Stegostoma tigrinum: one gene and its partner. Each later gene encodes a partner of the first gene's protein in a complex. Links are inferred from orthologs where the notes say so. Each region holds a gene or a part of one and is shown on either strand. Other genes may lie near its edges. The genes, in order: gabbr2 and BTB/POZ domain-containing protein KCTD16-like.

Region 1 (12,637 bases):
AATAAGGCTGTCTATGTGTGGAGCCACAGAAATGGACAAGATACAAAACTAGTATTTTCCGTCAGTGATTACTATGGAGAAGAAAACAGAAGCTGCAGAACTTGGAGAAATAAACTGACATCTTTAAGTGTCCATTTAATGAAGGAAGAGGTGCTAGAAATCTTAAAATGCATGAAGGTGGATAAATCCACAGGACCTGATCAGGTGTATCCCACGACTTTGTGGGAAGCAAAGGAACTGATTGCTGGGCACCTTGCTGAGATATTTGTATCATTGATAGCCAAGGATGTGGTGCCAACAGACTGGAGGGTGGTTAATGTGGTGGATTATTTAAGAAACTTGGTAAGGAGAAGCCAGGAAACTACAGACTTGTCAGCCTGATGTCAGTGGTGGGTATGTTGCTGGAGGGGATTCTGAAGGACAGGATCTACATGCATTTGGAAAGGCAAGGGCTGATTGAGGATAGTCAACATGGGTTTGTGCATGGGAAATTGATTCTCAAAAACTTGATTGAGTTTTTTTGAAGAATTGAGAAAGAACATTGATGAAGGCAGAATGGTGGACATTGTCTATATGGGTTTCAGAAAGGCATTTGACAAAGTTCTGCATGATAGAGTCATTAACAGGGTTATATCCTGTGGAATCCAGGGAGAGATAGCTAGTTGAATACAAAATTGCCTGCAAGGTAGGAGACAGAGGATGACGGTGGAGAGTTGCTTTTGGGGCTAGAGGCCTGTGACCATCAGTGTGCCACAAGGTTTGGTGCTGAGTCCACTGTTTTTTGTCACTAATATAATTGATTGAGATGTGAATATAGCAGGAATGATTAGTAAGTTTGCAGATGACACCAAAATTGATAGTGTCACGGAAAATGAAGAAGGTTACCTCGCAGTACAATGGGACCTTGATCAGATGGACCAATGGTCCGAGGAGCCACAGATGGAATTTAATTTAATTTAATGATATGAGATGTTGCATTTTGATAAGGCAAGTCAGGGAAGGACTTATCCACTTAATGGGGACTGTTGCTCAACAAAGAGACCTTGGGGTGCAGGTTCATCGTTCGTTGAAGGTGCAGTCACAGATAGACAGAGTACTGAAGGAGGCATTTGGTATGCTTGCCTTTATTGGTCAGTGCATTGAGTACAGGAGTTATAATGTCATATTGCTGTTGTACTGGACATTGGTTAGGCCATTTTTGGCACTGCGTTCAGTTCTAGTCCCCCTGCTATAGGAAAGATGTTGATGTTAAATTTGAAAGCATGCAGAAAAGATTTACAAGAATTTTAACAGGGTTGGAGGCTTTGAGCTACAGGGAGAGGCTGAATAAGCAGAAGTATTTTTCCTGGAGCGTCAGTGGCTGCAGGGTGACCTTATTGAGGTTTATAAATTCATGAAGGGCATGAATAGTGAGAATAGCCAAGGTCTTTTTCACAGGGTGGGGGAGACCAAAAGGTTTAAGCTGAAAGGGGAAAGATATAAAAAGGAAGTACGCAGCAGCTTTTTCACACAGATGTTGGCACGTTTTTGGAATGAGCTGCCAGAGGATGTGGTGGAGACTGGTACAAATCCAGCATTTAAAAAGTATCTGGACTGGTACATGAATAGGACGGGTTGAGAGTGATATTGGCCAAATGCTGGCAAATGAGACTAGATTAATTTAGGATACTTGGTTCACTTGAACAAATTGGGCCAAAGGGTCAGTTGCTGTTCTATATAACTCTATGACCCTATGAGTATACAAGAGGTTAACTCAGGACATTACATTAAACTTCAAAGCCAGAGGAAGAATTCAAACTATAAAAAAAGTCTTTTTGGAACAGATTTTCAGAAATTATTTTTCAAACTGAAAATAGTCAATAGGTGGAATATGCTTCTATGAAGGTAAAAATTGGAGCAATTGATTTAGGGAGCAATTTAAATGTACAGCTGTATAGTGGTTTTGTAATTTTTTTGTCAAAAAGAAAGAAAATATCATCATGTCCCTGCAATAAAATTCATCTGAAGGACTTGAAACACCTGATCAAGATAAAATATTAAAGGCCTGACTTTGCTTCTGTGGAGTGCACAGTTACTTGAGAAATACGTGAATATTAAGAGAAATAGCAGAGAGATTTAACAAAATGCTCAAAACATTAAGAACTAGCAACCTAGTGATGTGAGTTCAAATCCCGTCACAGCTGATGGCAAATATAAATTTAGTTTATTAATAAAAAGTGGCGCCGGTATTGTTGAGCGTGAAATGACTGAATTGTTGTATAAACATCTCTGGATCACCAATATCTTTTTCGGAATGATATCTGCCTCTTTGCCTCATCATAACCCCGTTTGGGGCCCCGTAACTTAAGCGTTGGCCTGTTGACGGCCATTCGGTTATTAACCGGGCTGAGGCGATGTACAAACCGGCCTCACCGCTGCTGGCCCTAACTCCCATGAATGAAACCAGATGGATACTACACTGGACGGGAGGGGCCATTGAGATTCTTCTGGATTTATGAACTAACATGAGCCTAAAGGCCTTCCTCAGCTGTCACACAAAAGAAAACAGAGAGCTATTGATGCGGGAAATGAGAAACAAAACCAGAAATAACTGGAGAAGCTCAGCATCTGTGGATAAGAGAGCAGAGTTCTAAAGAGCGGTCAGTGGACTGGAAACATCAACTCCGCCTCTCTCCCCACAGAGGCTTCCAGACCTGCTGAGTTTAACCAGCAATTTTTGTTGTTGTTATAGTCTCAGCCCTTGTGAACTGCGGAGATATTCTCTTGGGTCAACCACCTGTCGTTTCGACATTTGAAGGAATTTCCCCTTCTCCAAATGGCTTTCGGTTAGTTTGCGAATTCCTCATCCTGTCCTTTTAAAGGGGCCGATCGGGCCAAACGCTCCTGTGGAATCATTTGTAAATGCCCGCCCCCATGTTTTGCTTTACATCACCTTACAAGATGGAATGAAAATGCAATGGAGAGAGGCAAAGCCTGTTTAGAAACGAAGGCGAGCACACACACACAAACACACGATGCAAAGGAAAGCTGCCTCACAGCATCGCCGAGCGCCTGCCCTCTGTGCCAGTTTCAGAGCCGCAGCACGTACAGCCAGCCTGGTGCTAAGTGTATTTGACTGGGTCACTGACAGTGAAGTGCCCCTGCCCGCTCTCAACGTGGGATGGCGGTTACCTTGGCAATGTGGGCAGCGCTTGGTGTGAAGCTGCTGCCACCTTCAGGTAATGCTCACTCAGTCCTGAGCCTGTCCCCGCCCCTAGCACGTTAATTCCACCGTGACAAACGAATGTGCATCTATGTATGTCATCTGGGGAAGGAAAACACAATACCTGCTGTAGTGGACACCTCCTCCCTTCAACAGCGAGGTCTCAAGGTGATTCGGAGTGTTTTTATTTCGCATGAAGCGCGTTATATTGTCACTAATGCACAGATCTCTTGGCGAAGAGGGGGTGGCCGTGGTCTGCAGTGTTAACTGTTTGCTGCTGGCAAGCAATGAGCAGAGCCTGTGCCTGTTCATTGCTTCCCCAGGCAGTGCACGGGCTGTTCGCCAGATTAATGCAATGACTTCAGGAGCTCATTCATATTCCTCAAAAGGGAAAAAGAAATACACACACACACACACACACACACATAGCGCCCTGTCCCCATTCCTTCTTGCTTCTTGCTTAGCTGCTAACCAATGTTATGTTATCCGCATGTCCACACACGGTGCACAGGCAAAACTGGGTCAAAATCGAAAAGCTAACCGCGCTGTAGCCACAAGACACAAGAAACCGAGCGCTAAACAGGCACGGCAAACCCCCGCTGAACCCTGCGAAGGGTTAACTCATTCATCCACTGCGCATTGTACAAAACAGCACAATTCAAAATTAACACTTCGCACCTCGTAAGTATCACACTGTGGATATATTAAGGAGATATGTACAAGGAGGGGGGGTACAGGCAAAGGGTTTGAACTAATTGGAAATCCTCTACGTGTTCGTTTGTAAACAGACTGGATTAAACACACACACACACACAGATAGCTTCACAAATAAAAGAAACATACCTCGGAGTCGTACCACTTCAGGACCAGTTTGCTGGTGTTGGGTAAGAATTTGTTGTGGACGTGTTCTGTGGCCAGCTCGACGGCTGGTATGATGCCCTCGGAGATGCTCTCTGCCGCCTTGTTGATGGGCATCAGCCCCATGATGGGCAGCTTGGAGTCGGCTTCCAGGCGACTGTTCCTCAGCCCCAGAGCCGAGCTGGAGAGCAAGCCCCAGATCCATAGCACCAAGAGCGTGCCGAGACGGCGCAGGCAGCGCCAGAAGAAGCCAGCTCGGTAGGTCCTGGAGATTGTCTGCATCCTGGAGGAGAAACCGCACGCACACACACACACTCACACTCTCACAAACCAGAGGAGAGCCGCATCAGAAGGTAGGCAGTGGTGCTGGGGCTCGCTGGCTGCCGCGATCTCTCTCTCTCCCTCTCTGTCGCTTCAACCCTTCTAAGGTGTTGCAATCTGGTCCAGCCACTGAGCTGATCCGAGTTCAGTGCATTCCGCTCGCCCCTTCCTGCTCTTGTTGAGGGGTCCCGAATAACGTGTTTTAACGTCGCCTGGCGCCCCCTCTCTTAATACCATTGATTCAAGTTGACAGATATAAAATATCTGGAAACATACATTTGCGTGCGTTGCCTTCTTCACCTCCTTCAGTAGGATTTCAGCAGCAGTTCAAAGGAAAGCAGAACCCGCACGGCTTTGAAAAAAAACACCCTGCAGAGGAAGCAGCGCCGAACATCTACACAGTGTTGGACTGGGTGTTAATGTGCAGCTCAGCATAGAGCTCAGCACTTAACAGGCTCACCTCTCGTCCACAGCTCCCATCACATCCTGTCCAATCCATACAAACGCAAGGATGGGATAACGGGGATATCCCCACCAACACCCTCTCCCCGCCAAACAAAACAAGAGATTACACCGGCACGGACGGAGTTGGAGACTCAGCTCCCTGGGGAAGGCAGCTCGACTGGGGAAGAGATCCTCATGTCCGCAGCGCTGCCTCTGTGAATACTGTCAGTGGGGGCACTGCAGGTGACCCAACTCCGGGCTCCATCCTGGGCGGTGGAGCAGTGAGCCCGCTCGGACACCCGCCGCTCTGGGATTCCGCTGGTAATGTTCACACTCCGAACATGTTGGCGGTGCCTGTGAGCACACAGGGTTACACACAGGCGCACAGCAACGCAGCTCCAGCCGCATTGGACTCAACCTCTGGCGGATTCGAAGGAGTCAAAACACAGCAGACCTCAGCTACTGGTTGAAATTGCCAACAACACAATCACCAGAAACGAAATGACCACGATGTGTATATGTATTAATAATAAAACAAACACATGCCAATATGAAACAGGGACGAGTTTTGTGTTTTATGGCGAGGGGGAAGGCCATAAATCGAACCGGATCATTATCAGGGCTTCGACTGTCAATCACTGAATTTATTTGCACTTCTTCCCATTACAGTAGCGAAAACATCTGTTCCCGCACCTCACAGGCAAACAGGGAACAGCGACCAATTCAGGCACCGAATCAGATCCCGAAAATTGCAAAACAGCAGTAACCTATTAATTATTCCCTAGTGTCGAGATCCGCATCGCAACCGGCACCTTCCCGTTGTTTCATTTTGAATTGTAGCTTCAGATCCATTTTCAGCTTTGACTCTCACTTTCACTGTGTGCAGGAATCTCCAGGAATGTTACGTTTTTTTTTAATTAACTGGAACTTGATTTGGAAGGAGAGATTGACCGTTTGGAAATCAATTTGTTGTTCTAGTTGTAAACATCCTCAAGAATGTTTTTAATTATTGGAATGGAAATGAAGTTCTGGGGAAAGAATCGCACGTTAAAAAGCGTATTGAAATTCACCAAACCCAAGTCGTTGAAAGTTTGTAAGCGTTTGATACCTTGGTGGTTTAAAGCCTCACTCGGTGTACTCTTTATGTTTCCGCCACTATCTTTTGTGGCATTTTAAAAGAGGTTTGCCCATATCGTTCATTCCAGTCTTCACTGTTGTTTAGTGTGGAGAATAACTTCACTTTGGAATGATTAACAAAAACAATTGTAAATGGCAAGTGAAAACAAAGTTGCCCTCGACAGCAGTGATTTGTCACTGTTACCCTGTGAAGTCCCACCATCGATACCAGCTAAACATGAGTGCTACCAATTTTCAGCCACTAGGCTCCTTGAGAACGCTTGGTTTCTATTACGTGGAGACTCTGAATCAAGCAAATACATTGTTCAATCCTCTGGCAGCAAACAAATCTATCCTGTTGATCTATGATAGTATCAGAGATAATGGGAACTGCAGATGCTGGAGAATTCCAAGATAAAATGTGAGGCTGGATGAACACAGCAGGCCAAGCAGCATCTCAGGAGCACAAAAGCTGACGTTTCGGGCCTAGACCCTTCATCAGAGAGGGGGATGGGGAGAGGGAACTGGAATAAATAGGGAGAGAGGGGGAGGCAGACCGAAGATGGAGAGTAAAGAAGATAGGTGGAGAGAGTGTAGGTGGGGAGGTAGGGAGGGGATAGGTCAGTCCAGGGAAGACACAACCAGCCCAGCTCTTCCCCCCCACCCACTGCATCCCAAAACCAGTCCAACCTGTCTCTGCCTCCCTAACCGGTTCTTCCTCTCACCCATCCCTTCCTCCCACCCCAAGCCGCACCCCCAGCCACCTACTAACCTCATCCCACCTCCTTGACCTGTCCGTCTTCCCTGGACTGACCTATCCCCTCCCTACCTCCCCACCTACACTCTCTCCACCTATCTTCTTTACTCTCCATCTTCGGTCCGCCTCCCCCTCTCTCCCTATTTATTCCAGTTCCCTCTCCCCACCCCCCTCTCTGATGAAGGGTCTAGGCCCGAAACATCAGCTTTTGTGCTCCTGAGATGCTGCTTGGCCTGCTGTGTTCATCCAGCCTCACATTTTATTATTCTGTTGATCTATGTCATGTTTAAACCAGGAAATAATTATTAATATCACTGGAAAATATCACAGCCATGAGAATAGAAAGATGGATTTGACTCCTGGGACAGAAGTTACATGATTTCCTGATAGCTTATCTAGTTTGGACTCTAACAAGTAACCAACACATAGATGGCATTATGTCACCGATTCCTGTTTTATGGAAAATATTCTAGTGCAAAGACACATTCAAAATGCGTCTCATTTCCCCAAATGCAAGTGATTTATCTTCCATACTAGCTGAGGGCCAAGCTGATATTCTCCAAGCACAGTAATACACAGTAGTCAGACCAAGTTAGTAACATGCATCCAGCAATAAACCATCCCTAACTTAATATATAATTAGCCCCAGGTCAATATTAATGACACAGCTCTAAATCTTAAAAACTGCAATGAAGAGTTTGAGGAGGTCTAGGTGGAAGCAGAACCTAAAACTTCATTTAACTATAACAGTGTAGATACAGTACATGTTTCTTTGTGTGTGTGCTCTCTGAAGTCAACAGATATGGCTCACCTGGAGCTCATTGGAGACATGTAGACAGACTAATAATGTGCCTGATTATTATTCCCAGGTTGGTAAGGTTATGGAAGGGCATAGTGATATTCAAGGGCATGTGTACATTAAGAAGCAGCTGTTGGGCAACTTAATAATCAATATGGTCCATAAGTCCTCAGGGCCTGATGGGATCTATCCCAGGATACTAGGGGAGGCAAAGGAGGAGATTGCTGGGGCCTTGGCAAAGATCTTTGTGTCCTCTTTAGCCACAGGCGAGGTTACAGAAGACTGAAGAATAGCCAAAGATGTTCCTTTGTTTAAAAAAAGCAACAGCGATAATTCAAGAGATTTTAGGCCGTACATTAAAGTGGTAGGAAAATTATTGGAGAAGATTCTTAGGGACAAGATCAACTTGCAATCGGAAAAGAACGGACTTATTAAGGATAGTCAACATGGCTTTGAGGCAGGAGGTCTTGTCTCACAAATTTGATTGAGTCTTTCGAGGAATTGATGAAGATGGTTGATGAGAGTAGGGCAGCAGATGTTGCTACATGGACTTTACTAAAGCATTTGATGAAGTCCCTCATGGTTGGCTGGTCCAGAAGATTAAGTCGCATAGGATTCGCAGTGATTTGTGTAAGTTGAATACAAAACAGGTTTACTCATAGAAGACAAAGGGTAGTTTTGGAAAAGTGTTTTTCTTTCTGACTGGAGGTCTGTGACCAGTAGTGTTCTGCAAGGATCAGCACTGGGACCCTGTTGTTTGTAATTTATTTAAATGATTTGGATGAATCAGTAAATGGTCTGATTAGTAAGTTTGCAGATGACACAAAAATTGGTGGAGTTGTGCATAGTGAGGAAGATTTTCAAAGTATACAGCAGGAAGGTGACCAGTTGGAAAGTTGGGCAGAGAAATGGCAGATGGAGATTAATCCAGCAAATGTGAAGTGTTGCATTTTGGAAGGTCATGGGCTAGAGGAAAGTATACGGTAATGGCCAGACCCTGAGGAGCAAATCCATCACTCCCTGAAAGTGGCAACACAAGTAGATGAGGTGATGAAGAAAGTATGCATCATGTTTGCCTTCATCAGTTGGGATATTGAGTATAAAAGTTGGCGAGCCATGTTGCAGCTGTATAAAACATTAGAGAGATCACATTAAGAGTATTGTAATCAGTTCTGGCCCACACACTCTAGGAAGGATGTGGAGGCTTTTAAGAGAATGCAAAAGAAGTTTACTAGGATATTGGTTGCAGGAACAGCAACTCATATTCCGCTTGGGAACCCTGCAGCCCAATGGTATCAATGTGGACTCCACCAGCTTCAAAATCTCCCCTTCCCCCACCGCATCCCAAACCAGCCCAGTTCGTCCCCTCCCCCCACTGCACCACACAACCAGCCCAGCTCTTCCCCTCCATCCACTGCATCCCAAAACCAGTCCAGCCTGTCTCTGCCTCCCTAACCTGTTCTTCCTCTCAAACATCCCTCCCTCCCACCCCAAGCCGCACCTCCATTTCCTACCTACTTACCTCATCCTACCTCCTTGATCTGTCCGTCTTCCCTGGACTGACCTATCCCCCCCCCACCTCCCCACCTATACTCTTCTCGCCACCTATCTTCTTTTCTCTCCATCTTCGGTCCGCCTCCTCCTCTCTCCCTATTTATTCCAGAACCCTCACCCCATCCCCCTCTCTGATGAAGGGTATAGGCCTGAAACGTCAGCTTTTGTGCTCCTGAGATGCTGCTGGGCCTGCTGTGTTCATCCAGTCTCACATTTTATTATCTTGGATTTTCCAGCACCTGCAGTTCCCATTATCACGTTACTAGGATATTGGCCAGATTGGAGTTCATTAGCTATAAGGAGATGTTTGACAAACTTGGATTGCTTTCACGAGAGCATTAGAGGCTGAGGGGCGACCCGATAGAGTATATAAAATTATGAGAGACCTGGATAGCATGGTTGTCACAGTCTTTTTCCCAGGTTGGAAATGATAAAATCTAGGGACATAGGATTAAGGTGATAGGGGAAATGTGCAAGAAAAGTTTTTTGTTTTAACAGAGGATGGTAAGTGCCTGGAATATCAATGTTTAAGAGGCACTTAGACAGACCATAAACAGGCAGATGGGGTTGGTTTAGAATGCCATCTTGGTCAGCACAGATATGACAGGCCAAAGGGTCTGCTTCTGTGCTGTACCATTTTCTGCTCCAATAGAACAGAATTGATCCCCAATAACTGAGGAATAATACTTATCGCTCCACTATTTCAAAAGTACTGTAGTATCAATTTGAGATACATTTGGTAGTTGAGCTACTACCATTTGTGTGGATAGGACTTAAAAGAACTTCACAAGATGCTATCAATATTCATCAAAAGAGCATAACAGACTATAAGGGTGCGTAAGTATTTTGTGAAGAGTTCTTATGGTTTTTGAAGTGTATTATCCAGTGAATATAATCTGTTTACATTTCCTGAAGCTATTTGATAAGATATTTATGAACGTTGCGATTTGCAGAATTGCTGTCTGTTTCACCATACATAAGCAAAATAAATACCTGACAATATGGGAAGTACATCTGGGTGGGGAGAGTGGCGAGAGGAGTTGTGAAGGGTTCTTCTGCGGGTTACAGGCTGTTCACTCTTTACAGGCCTATAGAGGGAGCTTTGTAATTTATAACATAATGTTGCCTGTAACATCAATAGCATCTTCATTTTCCATTGGATAGTTCACATACAGAAACTTACACAGCAGTGGAAATTTGGACACTGAGCGATAATGAGAAAGAGAAAGAATTAAAGCAAAGGAAATTTGGAATACTTACAAAATCAGAGAGAGAAGTAACGGGGTGGAGTTGTCAAAGGGGAAAGATGCAGCGATTAGGACCAGAATCGGAAACGAAATTAAAAAGCAGAACCTAAGAAGATATAATCTGTGGATTAGTACCTGAGATGTGTGCACATTGGCATAGTGTACATAAAATTAGAGAAATGACTCTGTTGCCAAAGACTGATGTGGAAACCAAGGGATTGTGGCCAGTGGACTATTGGCACCAGTACTGGGGAACGTGGCGGCTGTACCATTGGGACAGTTTACACCTGATCTATGCAGGGACCAGTGTTTTTTGTGAACTGCATAACCAGGGAGGTGCAAAGAATTTTAAACTAAATAGCAAGGGCAAGGAATCAAACGTGGAAAGCTATAGTATAACAAAGAGTAAAGACAAGGTAGACAAGTAAAGCACTAATCCGGGAATAGAGGGCCAGAGAGTGGCTGAAAGAGACAAAGTCAAGACAAAACCTAGGAATGCACCTAGGAATGTCAAGACTAGATGTTACAAAGATTACAACAAGAGGCAAGTAAAGATTCTGTATCTGAATTAGCATAGCATTATAAACAAAGTAAATAAAGAGATAATACGCATTGAAGTGAGCAAATATGTTAGATAGCCATTATCAAGACATGGCTGCAGAATGAGAAAGGTTGAGTCCTGAATAGTGAAGGTTACATCCAAGAAGAAGAGGACACTGGGTAGAAGATGGAGGGACATCAAGGATGGCATTGGTGCAATAGTTAGAGATTACCTCAATTCCGTTTGATTACATTTGGCACTGTTTTCAACTTCAGTTTCCATACTGCTTACGGACCCTGTGCTGCTGCTGCTCTCTCTCTGTTTTCAGCTCCCATATTGATGTTGGTTGTGAACTGTTTTATACGGTGTATACTATTTTCAGCCTCCCTATTGCCATGTTGGTTGTTAAAACTGCAAAGCTGTAAGCCTACTGGAAGATGAAAGCAACTGTGTCTTGTTTTGTTCTGTGGAGAGTATGGTGTGTGAAAAATTTAAGACATAAAAGCTTACACTCCCCCTAGGCCATATATCTACCTCTGGGCCAAAAGCCGAGGTTCAAGTCCCATCTATTTGACAGATATGCAGTAACACACCTGAATGTGTTGATTTAAAAACATCCAACATAAAAGGTGCTCGAATCTGTGATTTAAAATATAACATCTCCAAAAATAGTGCTTCATTAAATGTTCTTAATTATTTGTGAAAATTCTTAAATTATGAAATATTGCTGTAATTTTCATCTTATAACTGGCAGTTTGACCTTTTTAAACATTATTTGTCTCTATGGTGATATCAGACTAGAATAACAACAACTTGCATTTATATTGCACTTTAAGATAGTCAACCATCCGAAGGCATGTTATAGAAGGGGTATCAAATGATTTTCACATGGAACCACATAAGGAAATCTTAGCGTAGATGTATAAAATTTTGTCAACCAGTTCAGTTTTAAGAAATGTTTTAAAGAAGAAAACAGGGAGAGACCAAGAGGTTTGGGTTGAGAGGAATTCCAGAGTTCAGATTCTAAATGTGACAACCAGCGGCAATGAAATCAGGAAAACTATATCATTCCTATCTTCATCCTGTGCGTTCCACTCAACAGAACATGGTCATTGTCTGCTGCAGTTACATCCTGAAATGTTTCTCTTGGATGTTTTATCATGGTCTTCCACTCTCAAGGGTAAGGCAAAGAAGCAGGACTTGAGTTTATCTCAGCTGAAAAGGGAATCAAACCCATTGGCACCCATCTGAACCACATGCTAGTCATCAAAAAATTGAGTTAACTGGCCTCACCATGTCACAAAAAGCTTTCAAAAGATGTATAAAGATTGAACATTTACTTTCCATTCAATAATTTGCTAAATACATTCAAAATTTGGTCAGCATGACGGTTTTCTTGCTGAAAATGCGCAAATTGAGTGTTAGCTCTTGTTTACACAGACTCACATCACACAGCTACAAAGAGACAATTTTTTAGCAAAGTACTTTTAGTAAGATGAGCACAATGTAAATCAATGCAATAGGTGGGACAAAATAGGGAACCTGCAACATTGCCCGACAACCATTTGTTCATGATGCATTTGCAACAAATGTCTACTTTTCTGTTTCACCTGTGATGATACAAAATGAGAGTGAACAGAGCAAGAACAGCAGGAAATGAAGTTGAGATAAGATTCTGAGGCAAAATCCTTCAGGCTTTTAGGGAGTCATTTATGAAAGCCTCAGAATAGCTTCTAAAGTCATAAGACCATTAAACAAGTATTCCTGGCCAAGAACAAAATAGAAGAGAAAATCAACA
Region 2 (12,026 bases), on another chromosome or scaffold:
ATAGATTCATAATCAACCCGCTTAGCTGTGTTATGAACACCATTCTATTGTCATCAAGTCCTTAATGTGGGGCTTCTACCCTGAGCTTCTGGCTCAGAAGCAGAGACACTGCCCATTGCACTACATGGCCTGCCACAAGATTTCCACATTTAACTGCATGAGAGTTTCCTCCAGAGGTTTTTGTCAATTTCAGAAGAATAACGATGTTGATGTATCATGATGCAGCTGCAAAATTCAGGTCACTGTATTGTCTTATTTGAGGCATAACAATCACAATAACTAAGTGTTAGCTCAGTTAGAGACAGTAAGTCAGAGCACCCCCAACTATTTTATATCATGCAGCAGAATGAGCTCTGTCATTAAACTGAAGATGATTATTTTTATTTCTTGCTGATCACTCAGCATGCCTTCTATTGTTGACTCCTGATGTGCACAGTGGGGTTTTCCGAATGAATTAATTGTCTCTTTACTTAACTGATGACTATATACAACTGTTCAGGATGGAAGGAAGAATATGCAAGGTTGTAACACTTACAATGTTACTGGACCAACTGGCATATCACTGGTGGGAGCTAAGTTGTCAGCAGATCTAATCCTTGCCAAAGTCCAACATAAAAATGTCCCTATATGAACAAAGGGCAATGAAGTCACTGATGGAATGGTTAAAAAGTCCTCAGATTTGACAACCTGGAATTATCATTGTTAGATTGTTTCATGAATAAATTTATTTCTATTAATATTGCATTCTATAATAATTTTATCCTGTATATTAAATCAACAGATTCAAATACTGTTTTGACTAACCATCTTTGAAGAATCTGTACAATCTCTGGTTACCAATCCTACATTCATTCTAAATTGAAAACGATTGAAAAAAAAATTAGAAGTAAACATAATCATCATTGTGTTAAATTGTAGAAACTGTATTATACCCCAACATCCCATTTGACAGCTTCAGTCCTTTCTTTGGCCTGCTCTACTTGAATAACTCATAGTAACTGTGCAGTAGATGAAGAGAACTACTGTCACATCTAGAGGGCAATAAGATTTTAATGCAGAGCATTAAGCAACAAAGAAACTCAAGCCAATCAGCACATTCAATAGGCTTAAAAAGATAGTTTGGGCCTTACCAGAAGAGACAGGGCATGCTGGCATGGACTTTTAAGAGGCCACAGTATTGTCCCAGTTTTCACGTTGAGAGAGCTTCCAAATGGTAATTAACATCAGCTGATATAGCTTACCAGAGGGAAATATGAATATATCTAAGTTTGTAACACAGAGGAAAGAGCTTGCCCTTAGTACAAGCTGCAATAGCCAATCGCAATAAGTAGGTATTTGTTAACCAACGTTTGGCCAGCACTTTAGCCTTGTTCTGCCATTGCTGCACCTAGTTGTCGCTTCTGCGTTACATTCCCGTTGGTAAACTCTCTGCTATGAAAGTAAAGCAACAAAAAATGACGAATACTGTTCTGGTTCATACAACTTATCGCTAGATCATCAGTAATACCTCAAAATTACAGAAATACAGGACCAAAGGTATTTCAATTTAAACACTGACCGTGTGTACTCGGGTTTGAATTGTCAAATAGTGATATTTGTTGTAAAATCAGCTAGAAACTGCTTTTCCATTCCTTCCTTCATTACAGGTTCTTCAGGACCGTTGTACGATTTGTAAATGACGACTGCCTCAGATAAACGTTGCCGTAAAAGAATGCCCCATTTAAAGAGACCTGACTGGCTCTATAACAATGATGAATTAGGAAATGTTAGCCAGCGGCATTGTGCCAGCTAAAGCGCTATCGTCAAGATTGAGCGCGCCGGTGTTTTAAACCTGTAAAAGTGTATCTGTTCGCCGTGACAACACAGCACTTGGGGAGCGCTACTTCTTTTTCTCGCTAAAGTCATGTCCCTCAGAATTGAAGTTGCAATTTTACCGGTAGACTGGGTCCCAATTATTTACGACGAGCCCCCCTGCCAGTGTCCCATACTCGCAAATAATCATACTAATAACATCCAAGTATAGCAAATCACTCCGAAGAAACGGAATCTCATGCTCTCTTTCGCTCTCTGTGGGTCCTCGGCTCGTATCGCACGGACCCTGAACCGCCCTTGCCAGCTCCTGTTAATGGTCTGGGCTACGAATCAAACCCATTCGGGCTTTGAGCTTCATTCCCAGCCCTGGGACAGGGTAGCTCTGGGAGAAGCTGGCTGAAGCTGCTTGTTTTGCAACCCAGTTAGAAACTAGCCGCTCCCGCCGCCAGAAAGTGCAGCGAGCAATCCAGCATCCCAAAGCTACTTGTCACATTCCCCGCTGCTGCTAGCAGTCGCTGTCCAGGTGCTGAACCACGCCTTCTCGGAGCGGGAAAGACTGTTACAACTTCATTCCGGGACTGTATTTCTTTCCCGGCAACACCGCCAGTGGTTCTCCTTCCGGACAGACTCTCCGGCCGGTACGGGGCTCTTTACAGAGAAACGCAATGTTGTATGCGCAACGTGCAGCGTCCCTGTCCAGGTTTTGTTGTTCGATGGTCACTTCAACCCTTACCTCCTATTCACCATCGAATAATATTGTCTGTCATAATATATTTCAATTTCTGTCCAAACAAGGGGCTGCGAACATGATTCGCTGTCTCAGCAAAGGATTCGAGTGTACAGTCGGTGGTGACAGGGCGCTAGTTCTCGGTTAGGGTTCGGAATGCTCGGCGACGCTCAATGTTGCCTGAGACGGAAATGTACTCGATACCAAACTACTGCGTTTCAAATTCACCGCAACATGTTGGACAGTGGGTGCACTCTGTAACTGGGCGCTGGACTAGTGGGTGCACACTGGATAGTGTGTGTTGTCGGAGGTCGGGCGCTGACAGCAGATAGGAGCAGTGTTTGGGCGCTGGATGGTAGGTGTGGGATATAGTTGGGCGCTGGATATTGGCTGTGCACTCGGTAGTGTGTGGGGGAACTGGAGCTGGTGTTGGCTGAGTATGTACCAGGGCATGGGGATTAAAGGGTGTGGACTAAGAGGAGTTGGAGAACGGTGCAGACATCGCGCTGGGTGCAAACAGGAAGACAACCGGAATGTACTCACGGTAGAAGAGGTATTCGGTGTAGCTGCTCCATGCCCTGTCATCAATCGCCTGGCCGCACACTGAGCCGGTCAGAGAGGAGTTGCTCCCCAGTAGAGTGAAGCCTGCTTCCGCCAGGGTGTCGAAGGCTCTCTCCAGTTGGCGGTAGCGGAGGTAGAAGCGGGACGTGTACCTGTCCGGCGTCCGGTCTGGGTCCCTGCTCTCATTCACGTTGTCTCCGAAGACTTCCTTGAGGAGGCCGATCCGCCCGCAGGCGAGGATACGGGGGACCCGGCGGAAGAGGCGAGCATCCCCCTGCAGGCTATCCCGGCCCAGGACACAGGAGCCGCGGTAACCCAGCGTGATGAAGCCGGCCCTGCGCTCCGCTGCCTGGCTGCCGGCCCGGGGGAGGTCGCTGCCCTGGGACAGCTCATCCAGGTCGCTGTGAGAGGGCTCCTCGAGGCCGGGGCTCTGCCCTTCGTCCGGGCTCAGCATGCGGACCAACTCGGGCAGATGGAAGAACTCCGCCTCCCGCCGGAGGCGCATCTTCTCCGGGAAGAGCTCGGGCAGTACCACCGCCCTGTCCCGCAGGTAGTCCAGGATGTAACGGAATAGGAAGCCGTCCCGGTCGATGAAGAAGCGCCCTCGGTTGTCCCGGGCCAGCTCGGGGCCTGCCGAGTTCCTCTTGTGGCCGAACATCCTGCCGAGCACCGAGTTCGGGAGGCTGGTCAGGGTGGACAGGCGGGTGAAGTACACCTGGCCGCCCACATTCAGCTCCACCACATCAGGCAGCGGGGGTCCGCTGCTCTCCCGGGCCGCCAGCGGGGGAGCCGGCCTGCAGTTCGCGTTCAGAGCCATGGCCGGGAGCCCGGAGCCAACTTCTGGCCAGGAGAGAGAGGCCGCCTCCACCCCTCCCGGCGGCGGCGGCGGGGCAGGGCACTTGGTCAGAGAGCAGCCTCCCCTACCCCGGGCAGCCCGGGACACCGGGAGACTCCCAGCTCCGCTTCCCCCCGACTCCAGCGCCTCCACTGTGATGGGGGGGGGGGGGGGGGAGAGAGAGAGAGGGATGGAGTATTGGAGCAGAGTCCTGCCCCCTGGGGGCAGGGGGGGAGGAGGGAGGGGCTCGCTGCCTGTGCCCTGGCGGCCGATCGGAGTGACCCTATTTGTTTAGCTCCCTCCCTCCCACCCTCCGCTCTGGGGCCGCTCCTGATCCCCAGCGCTCCGGATAGACTGCTGTGAGCTCCTGGTTTGTCACATCTCCCAGTGAGAGAGAGAGAGAGAAAGCAGCTGGCAAAGCGCCTCTTACATCATCTTCCCCCAAAGAGCTCTCACACACCGCCTCCTGCCGAGCTCCACTTCTCCAACTTGGAGAGTCGGGGCGGTATGATTCAGGGCTGAACGTGAAAAGCCAGCTCCCGCTTCCCTGGGTGCCTCGCACGCTTCTGCAGCTCGCCAAGAATCAGCGGCGCTCTCGGCTACTTTCAGACTCCACCACTCCCAGGCTCCGCCTGTCTAGTTTTCGGGAAATTTTTTTTCTCTCTATCCCCCTCTCTCTCTCTCACTCCCTCGGTTTCGCGGAAACCTACGAGACGGAAAATGATTGTCTCCTGAGGGTCAATCATAGACACAAAGTTGTCATTGGCCATTAGTCACCAGGAAACCGGCTCCCTCGAGGTGAAACGCCGAAAGCTCCAGCAGTCTCTTCCTCATTTGTCATTTCGTCGTGTTCTAGGGTGGCTAGGGCTCAAATCCGTCGAGAGGCGATGGAGTATTTTAGGATTGTGGAATAAATAATTAAGTGGAAGTGTGCGGCTAAAATGACCTAGTAATCCACAAAGTCTCGCAGCCAGATCTGAAGCAGTGTTTGCCAGCGTTTCAGAGAAAATAGCAGCGTTACAGGAGAGAGCGAGTGCTGTTTTTTTTTGGAGACACCGTATGTCATGCGTGAGCTAAAAGTTGGGGCCATTGGTAACATATACGGTCACCGTAACTAGAATTAGCGTCAATAAACACTGCTGTAATTCATAGTGAGGACAAATAAACCGGCAGCGAATTGTTACCACATATCACTGGTATGTAAAGGGATCCGAAAATTCTTCAAACAACGCCTAACACATACGCCTACCAGTAATCCCACATGGCCGTCACTAAAAATAACATCATAAAATATGTGATTAAAACAACATTTTCTTCTCACAGAATCAAACTATGTCATAAACAAAATAGGCTACTCATAAGTGATGATTTTTGAGGTTAACTTCATTGTGTAAAAGGTCAGGATTCATATTCGTTTTATTCAAAACCAGTAAGTATTCTTCATTGGTGCCATTTCTTGTATTATTGCGAAACAGCTTTGTGGGAGGGGACACCATATGAGGCTCTTTACGATATTGGAACAGAACTATTTCAGGGTAAAGCTATTTATACTGCGACAGGTGACATTACGGAAGAGACCAAAAACACATTCTGAAAATTGGAATAGGATCAGAAAATGTTGAAAGTCATTTGTACGTGATTATATTGCGTTTAGCACTTGCCAGTGGTCGTTTTAAACGTTAACCTACTTCTCCCTCCCTATAGTCTATGAGCTGCTATCTCGATCCAGTATTTTGTATTTACTGTTATGAAAAGCAAATATAGTCTTATGGTATGTATTTAAATAGCAGCTCTAACACAATACAAAAGCGATGATTATATTCCGAATGCCCGAAGCTTGGCAAATTACGGTAGTACAGTCACAATCTAGGAGTAAAGGCCCTTTCGACTCCAATACGCTGTGGTATAGACTCACAAACGTTTTGGATTTACAGGACTACATGTTTTTATCAACATGTCACAAGGAATAGGGATTTAAGATATCAACAGGTTGGTGTATGTTTTATACCGTTATACTTGCTCACCCATTATCTTGCGCTTTTGTTATCAAAACTCATTTTTCAGCTCAGAATGTATGAGTGATAGAAGACCAACAGAACATACTTTTAATCCCTAGGTCAATTTCTATATACACTAAATCAAAGGTTTTATTTGCCCATTTCATAACCTTGTCGACTTAAGATGCAATTTGATTTGTACATTTGAAAGTCAAGATATTTTGTTCCTTTATACCACGTAAAATCGTTTCATATAGTTATTTAAAGCTATATAAATAATATAGCTGTTTTATTTCTCAAATAGAGAGTGAACATAAAGAACAGTCATGATTGAACACAATGCAATCAGCACAAAATGCAATTTGATTTTTACATTTGAAAGTCAAGATATTCTGCTCCTTTATACCACTTAAAATCGTATCATATAGATTGTATTTCCCTTTCACTGATCTTACTTCCAAACATATTAATTATAATTTTGTACTTTAAACAGCACCTGTCTCTTATTTGTCCATTCAGCCAGTTATCCATGTCCCTTGAGTAATTTCATCACAATTTTGATCTTCTATGGATGTCTTATTAGGTTTAATGGAAGCATTAGCAGATTCTAAATCCTTACGTCCAAGTAAACTCACACAGTTCAATATTTGTAGGACGACTTGACTCTGGGAGTGAAAAAATGTGACCCTCCTTGATGTATGAAGTGGATACAATATTTTTGCACATGCTTTCATATGTGTTTTTCCAGCAAATGGGGGGGGGTGTCATTTATACTGTGATAACACAAGGCTGCAATAAATAATATAACTGTTTTATTTCACAAATAGAGAGTGAACGTAAAGAACAACAGTCATGATTGAACACAATGAAATCAGCACAAAACGACAATTCTATTCATCAATAAGTCAGTTTACTTATACAAGACAACTTATAACTTCACAGTCTGAGCGATAACCTGCCTGTTGGCTTTCTATGAACATGCCAAAGAGTTAATATATGTTTCTGTCCCTACCTTATTAGTTATGTTCACTACTGGAGGGAAGATCTGTGCCAGAGACACCTGTTGAGTACTTAGAACCAGGAGCTTTCCAAATCAATGCGGCTGTAGTATTTACTGATTACAAAGCTGCACAATAACATTTTCAATTTTTAGAAAGTCAAATAATTACCTAATACATTATCTTTGACAATCCTTTATCTTGTTTTTTAAACCAATTTATATGAATATATATTTTAAAACTCCCAATTTGTTAAGTTTAGAAAAAATCAGTGTGTTGCTCAGAAATGTAATTCTAGAATCAGAAAGGAAAATGATATATAACAAGCTACAACATAAACTATACTGTGATGATCAGAATAAGTTTTACATTACTTAAGAACATGGTTTTTGCATGTTTGTTTTTATGCCATGATAAAGGACAAAAAGTTAATTAAAGCCAGTATTTCTCTCTGTGATTGGTGAGGAACTGTGAGAAATGTACTTAGTAAATCACAATCAATCCACAAAATAAACTGACAAACATTCTAAAGACAGTATGTGTGACTGCTAAAAATAAACTGACATAATGGAGCTGATGTCCAGAAGCTAGGTTAACTCTAACCCCTTTTAACTTGAAATGATCCAGAACTCTGCTGCCTGTGTCCTAATTCACATCATGTTCTGCCCATCCCCGTGCTCAGTGACCTATTCTGACTCCTACTCATGCAACATCTGGATTTTAAAATTCTTATCTTTGTTTTCAAATGCCCCCTTTGTGAATTGACCATCTCATTTTCTGTGATCACCTGTCCCTCTATCGTCTGATATACACTAATTGCTTCCAGCAACTGGAGCATCCTTAATTTCAATCATTCCAATAGTCGTTGGCCACGACTTGAGGTGGCTAGGCTGCGAGCTCTGGAGTTTCCGTTTGATATCTCTCTACTTCTATGGCTAAATGTTTGGTCATCTGATTTAACATTAAGCATTTATTGCCCATCTTTAATCATGTAGAGAATTAACCACACTTCTGTGGGTCTAGAGTCACATGATTTCCTTCCTTAAAGGACATTAGTGAAAGAGTTGGGTTATTTTTATGGCAATTGACAATGGTTACATGTTGTGATTAGGCCAGTTTCTAATTCCAGATTTTTATTGAATTAAATGTGCTATTGAATTATTATTGGTGTCTTTACCACTACATTCCTGCCTCCCCTAGGATGACAGGGACTAGGTTCTGAATATTGAGAGGTATACGACTTTCAAGAAGAATAGGAATCTAGATGAAGATAGATGGAAAGTTCTGCTAATCAAAGGTGGAATTAGTACAATAGTTTAAGCTAATCTTGGTTAAGGAGATTAGGATATAGAATCAGTTGTGGTGTAGATGAGGAATAGTAGGAAAAAGAAGTCTCTGGGGGAAATGATCTACAAGCTCCCAAACAGTAGCTATAATGTGAGATGAATCATACAAGAATAAATATTGGACATTTGTGGTAATGGGATGGCAAGAATTATGAGTGATTTTAATCAACAAAATAAATTGGAAAAATCAGATTTATATTGGTAGCTTCAATAGGGAGAACATAGAATGGTTTCAGCACAGTTTCTTAGAGCAGCACATTGTGGATTGACTAGAGAGCAAGCTGTACTAGACAGGACAGCTTAATGATGTCAGAGTAAAGGTATCTTTAGGTAGCAGCAATCATAAGTGATTGAATTTTTCATCTAGTTGAGGGAGAGAACGATGATTTTAAGATAATGTTTCAAACTTAGAAAGGGTGGCCATATAAGCATGAAAGCCATGCTAGCTGAAATGCACTGAGATTTTAGGCTAACAGATAAATCAATCAAGAAGGAGGAGGTGATGTTTAAAGGGATATTTCACATTTCTCAGAATTAGTACATTTATACAATAAAGAAAAAGTATCCAAGGGGAAGACCCACCATCTGTAGTTAATCAAGGAATTAAACAGAACTTCAAATTTAAGGAGAAAGTATATAGTTTTACATATATTAATTGCGGGTCAGATAACTGGTCAGAATACAAAAAATGGCAGAGAATGATTCAAGATAATAAAATGTGAGGCTGGATGAACACAGCAGGCCCAGCAGCATCTCAAGAGCATGAAAGCTGACGTTTCGGGCCTGGACCCTTCATCAGAGAGCAATGATTCAGTTGATCAGGACAAAAAATAAGAGTATGAAAGGAAGCTAGCGAGAAATGTAAAAAATCATAGCAAGAGTTTCAATATAACAAAGAAATTATTGCACAAAGTAGAAGCTAATGGTGAAGGGGCAACATACTAGAAGATTGACGAGCTGGCAGAAAATATGAATAAATGGGTCTGTTTCAGGTTGTCAACATGTGACATCTGGGATCCTCCAAGGGTCTATGTTGAGCCTTTGAATGTTTAGAATTTATAACAATGACTTTGATGAAGAAATTGAAGATGTAGTGGTTAATTTAGCAGATGACACAATGACAGGTAGGAAAGAATGACTTCAGAATTCTGAGTTTCAGAGGTGTTTTGGTGTTCTTGTTCATAAGTCACAAAATGTTAGCATGCACATACAGCACGTAATTGGCCGGGGTCGTGGGGGCGATAACAGAATTTACTATTCAGAGAAAAATTGAACGTAAAAGTAAGAGTGTTCTGCTTCTATGATATAGGCATTGATGAGACCCCATTTTTTAAATTCATTCATGGGATGAGGGCATTGCTAGCTAGGCAGCATTTATGGCCCATCCTTAATTGCCCAGAGGGCAGTTAAGAGTCAATCACATTCCTGTGGCTCTGGAATAACATATAGGCCAGACCAAATAAGGATGGCAGTTTCCTTCCCTAAAGGATATTGGTAAACCAGATGCAATTTCTTGGCAATCAATTCATGGTCATCATTGGACTCTTAATTCCAATTTTTTTTTAATTAAATTCAAATTCCACCGTATACTGTGACAGGATTCAAACCCAAGTTCCCAGAACGTTATCTGGATCAACAGTCCAGCAACAATACCATGAGGTCATTAACACCATTATTCCCCACCCCCCCAACAACTGGTATACTATGAATAGTTTTGGCCTTCTTATTGAAGGTATTTCAGAGGACATTTACTGGATTGATATCTAGCATGAGTGAGTTATCTCAAAAGAGTTCAGAGGAATATAAAGTGATATAACTGAATTTTATAAGATGCTGAATACTGTTGATAATGTGGATATGGACAGGATGTTCACCCTTGTTGCTGAGGCTTAGAACTAGGGACACTTTTAAAACATTGTAGGGCAGGAATGAAATGAATTTTCTTTTCTCTCAGAGATTTCTAAATCTATAGAGCTCTCAAACTCAGAAAGCAAGGAAGCAGAGTCATTCAATATTTTCAAGGTGGAACTAAATTGATTACTTTGCCTAATCAGGATCTAAGGTTATCAGAGATAGATTGGAATGTGGAATTTGTAATACAATTAGATCAGGCATGATCTTATTGAATGGCAATGCAGGATCGAAGGACTGAAAGACTTCATTCTATTCTTAAATCATACGTATCCACAAATGAAATTTATAACAGCATGATAATAGATTATTACAACATTATAAACCCCTGATACATGCACTAAACAGTTGAACTTAGACAATAAAATCATAAGAAGGAACATGACAAGCAGTCATCACAGAGTTAAATGCAAGTAACACTTTCCAAAGTCCTTTGACACAAGAGTCCTTCAGCTGCAACACACTTCTTATTTTAAAATTGTAGGTACATTATCTATAACCTCAAATTACAGTTAGTACAAGAAACTCATCTGAAGAAACATTCAATGAAACTCCAATCAGCAGCAATTGGTTTGCACCTTGCAACATTTTACCATTTCATTAAATGATATGTTAGTTTGTTGTTGTGAAATCTTTTAAGCCTAAGAACTGAATCATACCCAAAAGTCAGTATGTACAGGATCCTTTAGGAAGTGTGCATGACTACCAATATATCATAGAGCTGTGTGAAATTGATGCTGGCTGCTCCTTGCATTCAGAGAAGCTTACAGACAGGGATCTATTCAATTAGAAGAATGGGGAAATTCCTAACGCCACCTAAAAGAAACTGTAATCATAAACAGAAGGTTAACCAAGGTCCCAGGCAGCAGGATGTACAAGTAACTAACAGAGGTAGTTACAGAAACTGCAACAAATCTGAAAGACTCTCTACATCAGAAGGCAGGGAACCAGGGTCGTTGATTATGTTTTAGGTAGAGGTAGCTTGACTCCCTTGCTTAACAGGAATCTAAGGTTATTAGTGACAGCCAGGAATGTGAAATTTGGAACGCATCAGAACAGCAATGAACTTGTTGAATAGCAAAGCATCTGATGCAGCTTTTCAGGCGCAGGTCTGCACTGCTCCGAAGGTTCGTCATAATGTGTCTGAATGGGTCAATTAGCCAAATAGCTTGGAAGCCCTTATACTGAGGCCAGCAAGTGGAGTTGGAGGAGAATTATCTTGTTTTCAAAACAGCAGGAAGAGATGGCACAATGCCAGATGTTGGTTAATTACCAGACTAGGGTCTTCAAGTTAAGAATCTGTGCTTCTAGTTTATTTTTGACTATCCGCTGCAGCCCCATTACTTACACCGCTCTCCACTCACCTAAAGTAATTCACAATTTTACAATTTTCTCCTGCTTATCACATAGCATTCCATGTTTCCAGCACTACCGGAACCCCCACTTCTGCACATCTAATATCTTGCACATAATGTCCACTTTATTCAAGATTGTTGGGCACAATCTAAAATAGTTTGGAAGTCTGACACAAATGAGAAGTCAGGCAGAAATAAAGCACCCAACTGGAAGATCAGATCCTCTTCCTAATTGCTAGTGAGTGTAAGATGGCAACATTGAGTGAAAATGGTGCAGGGAGAAGCTGAAAGTTCTTCACACTTTATCCAATTTTTCCAATCAACCCAAACATTCCACATGATGAGTTGCAACCAATCATCTCTCCCTGCTTTATATTAAAAGTAATCTCCCTCCTTCTCTTTTACTTAAAGACCAGAAAATAAGGCTTTCAATGAAGTTCATGGTTGAAGGTTTTCATTCCTATTTGCTTTTCGATGATTGTAC

The links.
Region 2: the proteins of gabbr2 (region 1) and BTB/POZ domain-containing protein KCTD16-like are in contact, whole or in part, in a crystal structure (PDB 6M8R), measured with the Homo sapiens proteins. The link is inferred for Stegostoma tigrinum from reciprocal best matches to the Homo sapiens genes GABBR2 and KCTD16. Residues at the interface, in NP_005449.5 of Homo sapiens: Ile882, Asn883, Ile888, Gln889, Arg891, Leu892, Ser893, Leu894, Gln895, Leu896, Pro897, Ile898, Leu899; in NP_001357415.1 of Homo sapiens: Asn30, Gly32, Gly33, Gln34, Val35, Tyr36, Asp64, Leu65, Ala66, Lys67, Asp68, Ser69, Arg72, Phe74, Gly79, Phe80, Arg83.

What each region holds. Positions count from the first base shown.
Region 1 is NC_081355.1:87,513,039-87,525,675, forward strand, and holds the start of gabbr2 (gamma-aminobutyric acid type B receptor subunit 2), read right to left. Parts: upstream 5,307-12,637; 5' UTR 4,343-5,306; coding exon 4,046-4,342; intron 1-4,045. UniProt on the Homo sapiens protein: Component of a heterodimeric G-protein coupled receptor for GABA, formed by GABBR1 and GABBR2. Within the heterodimeric GABA receptor, only GABBR1 seems to bind agonists, while GABBR2 mediates coupling to G proteins.
Region 2 is NC_081366.1:33,641,446-33,653,471, forward strand, and holds the start of BTB/POZ domain-containing protein KCTD16-like, read right to left. Parts: upstream 5,175-12,026; 5' UTR 3,918-5,174; coding exon 3,083-3,917; intron 1-3,082. UniProt on the Homo sapiens protein: Auxiliary subunit of GABA-B receptors that determine the pharmacology and kinetics of the receptor response. Increases agonist potency and markedly alter the G-protein signaling of the receptors by accelerating onset and promoting desensitization.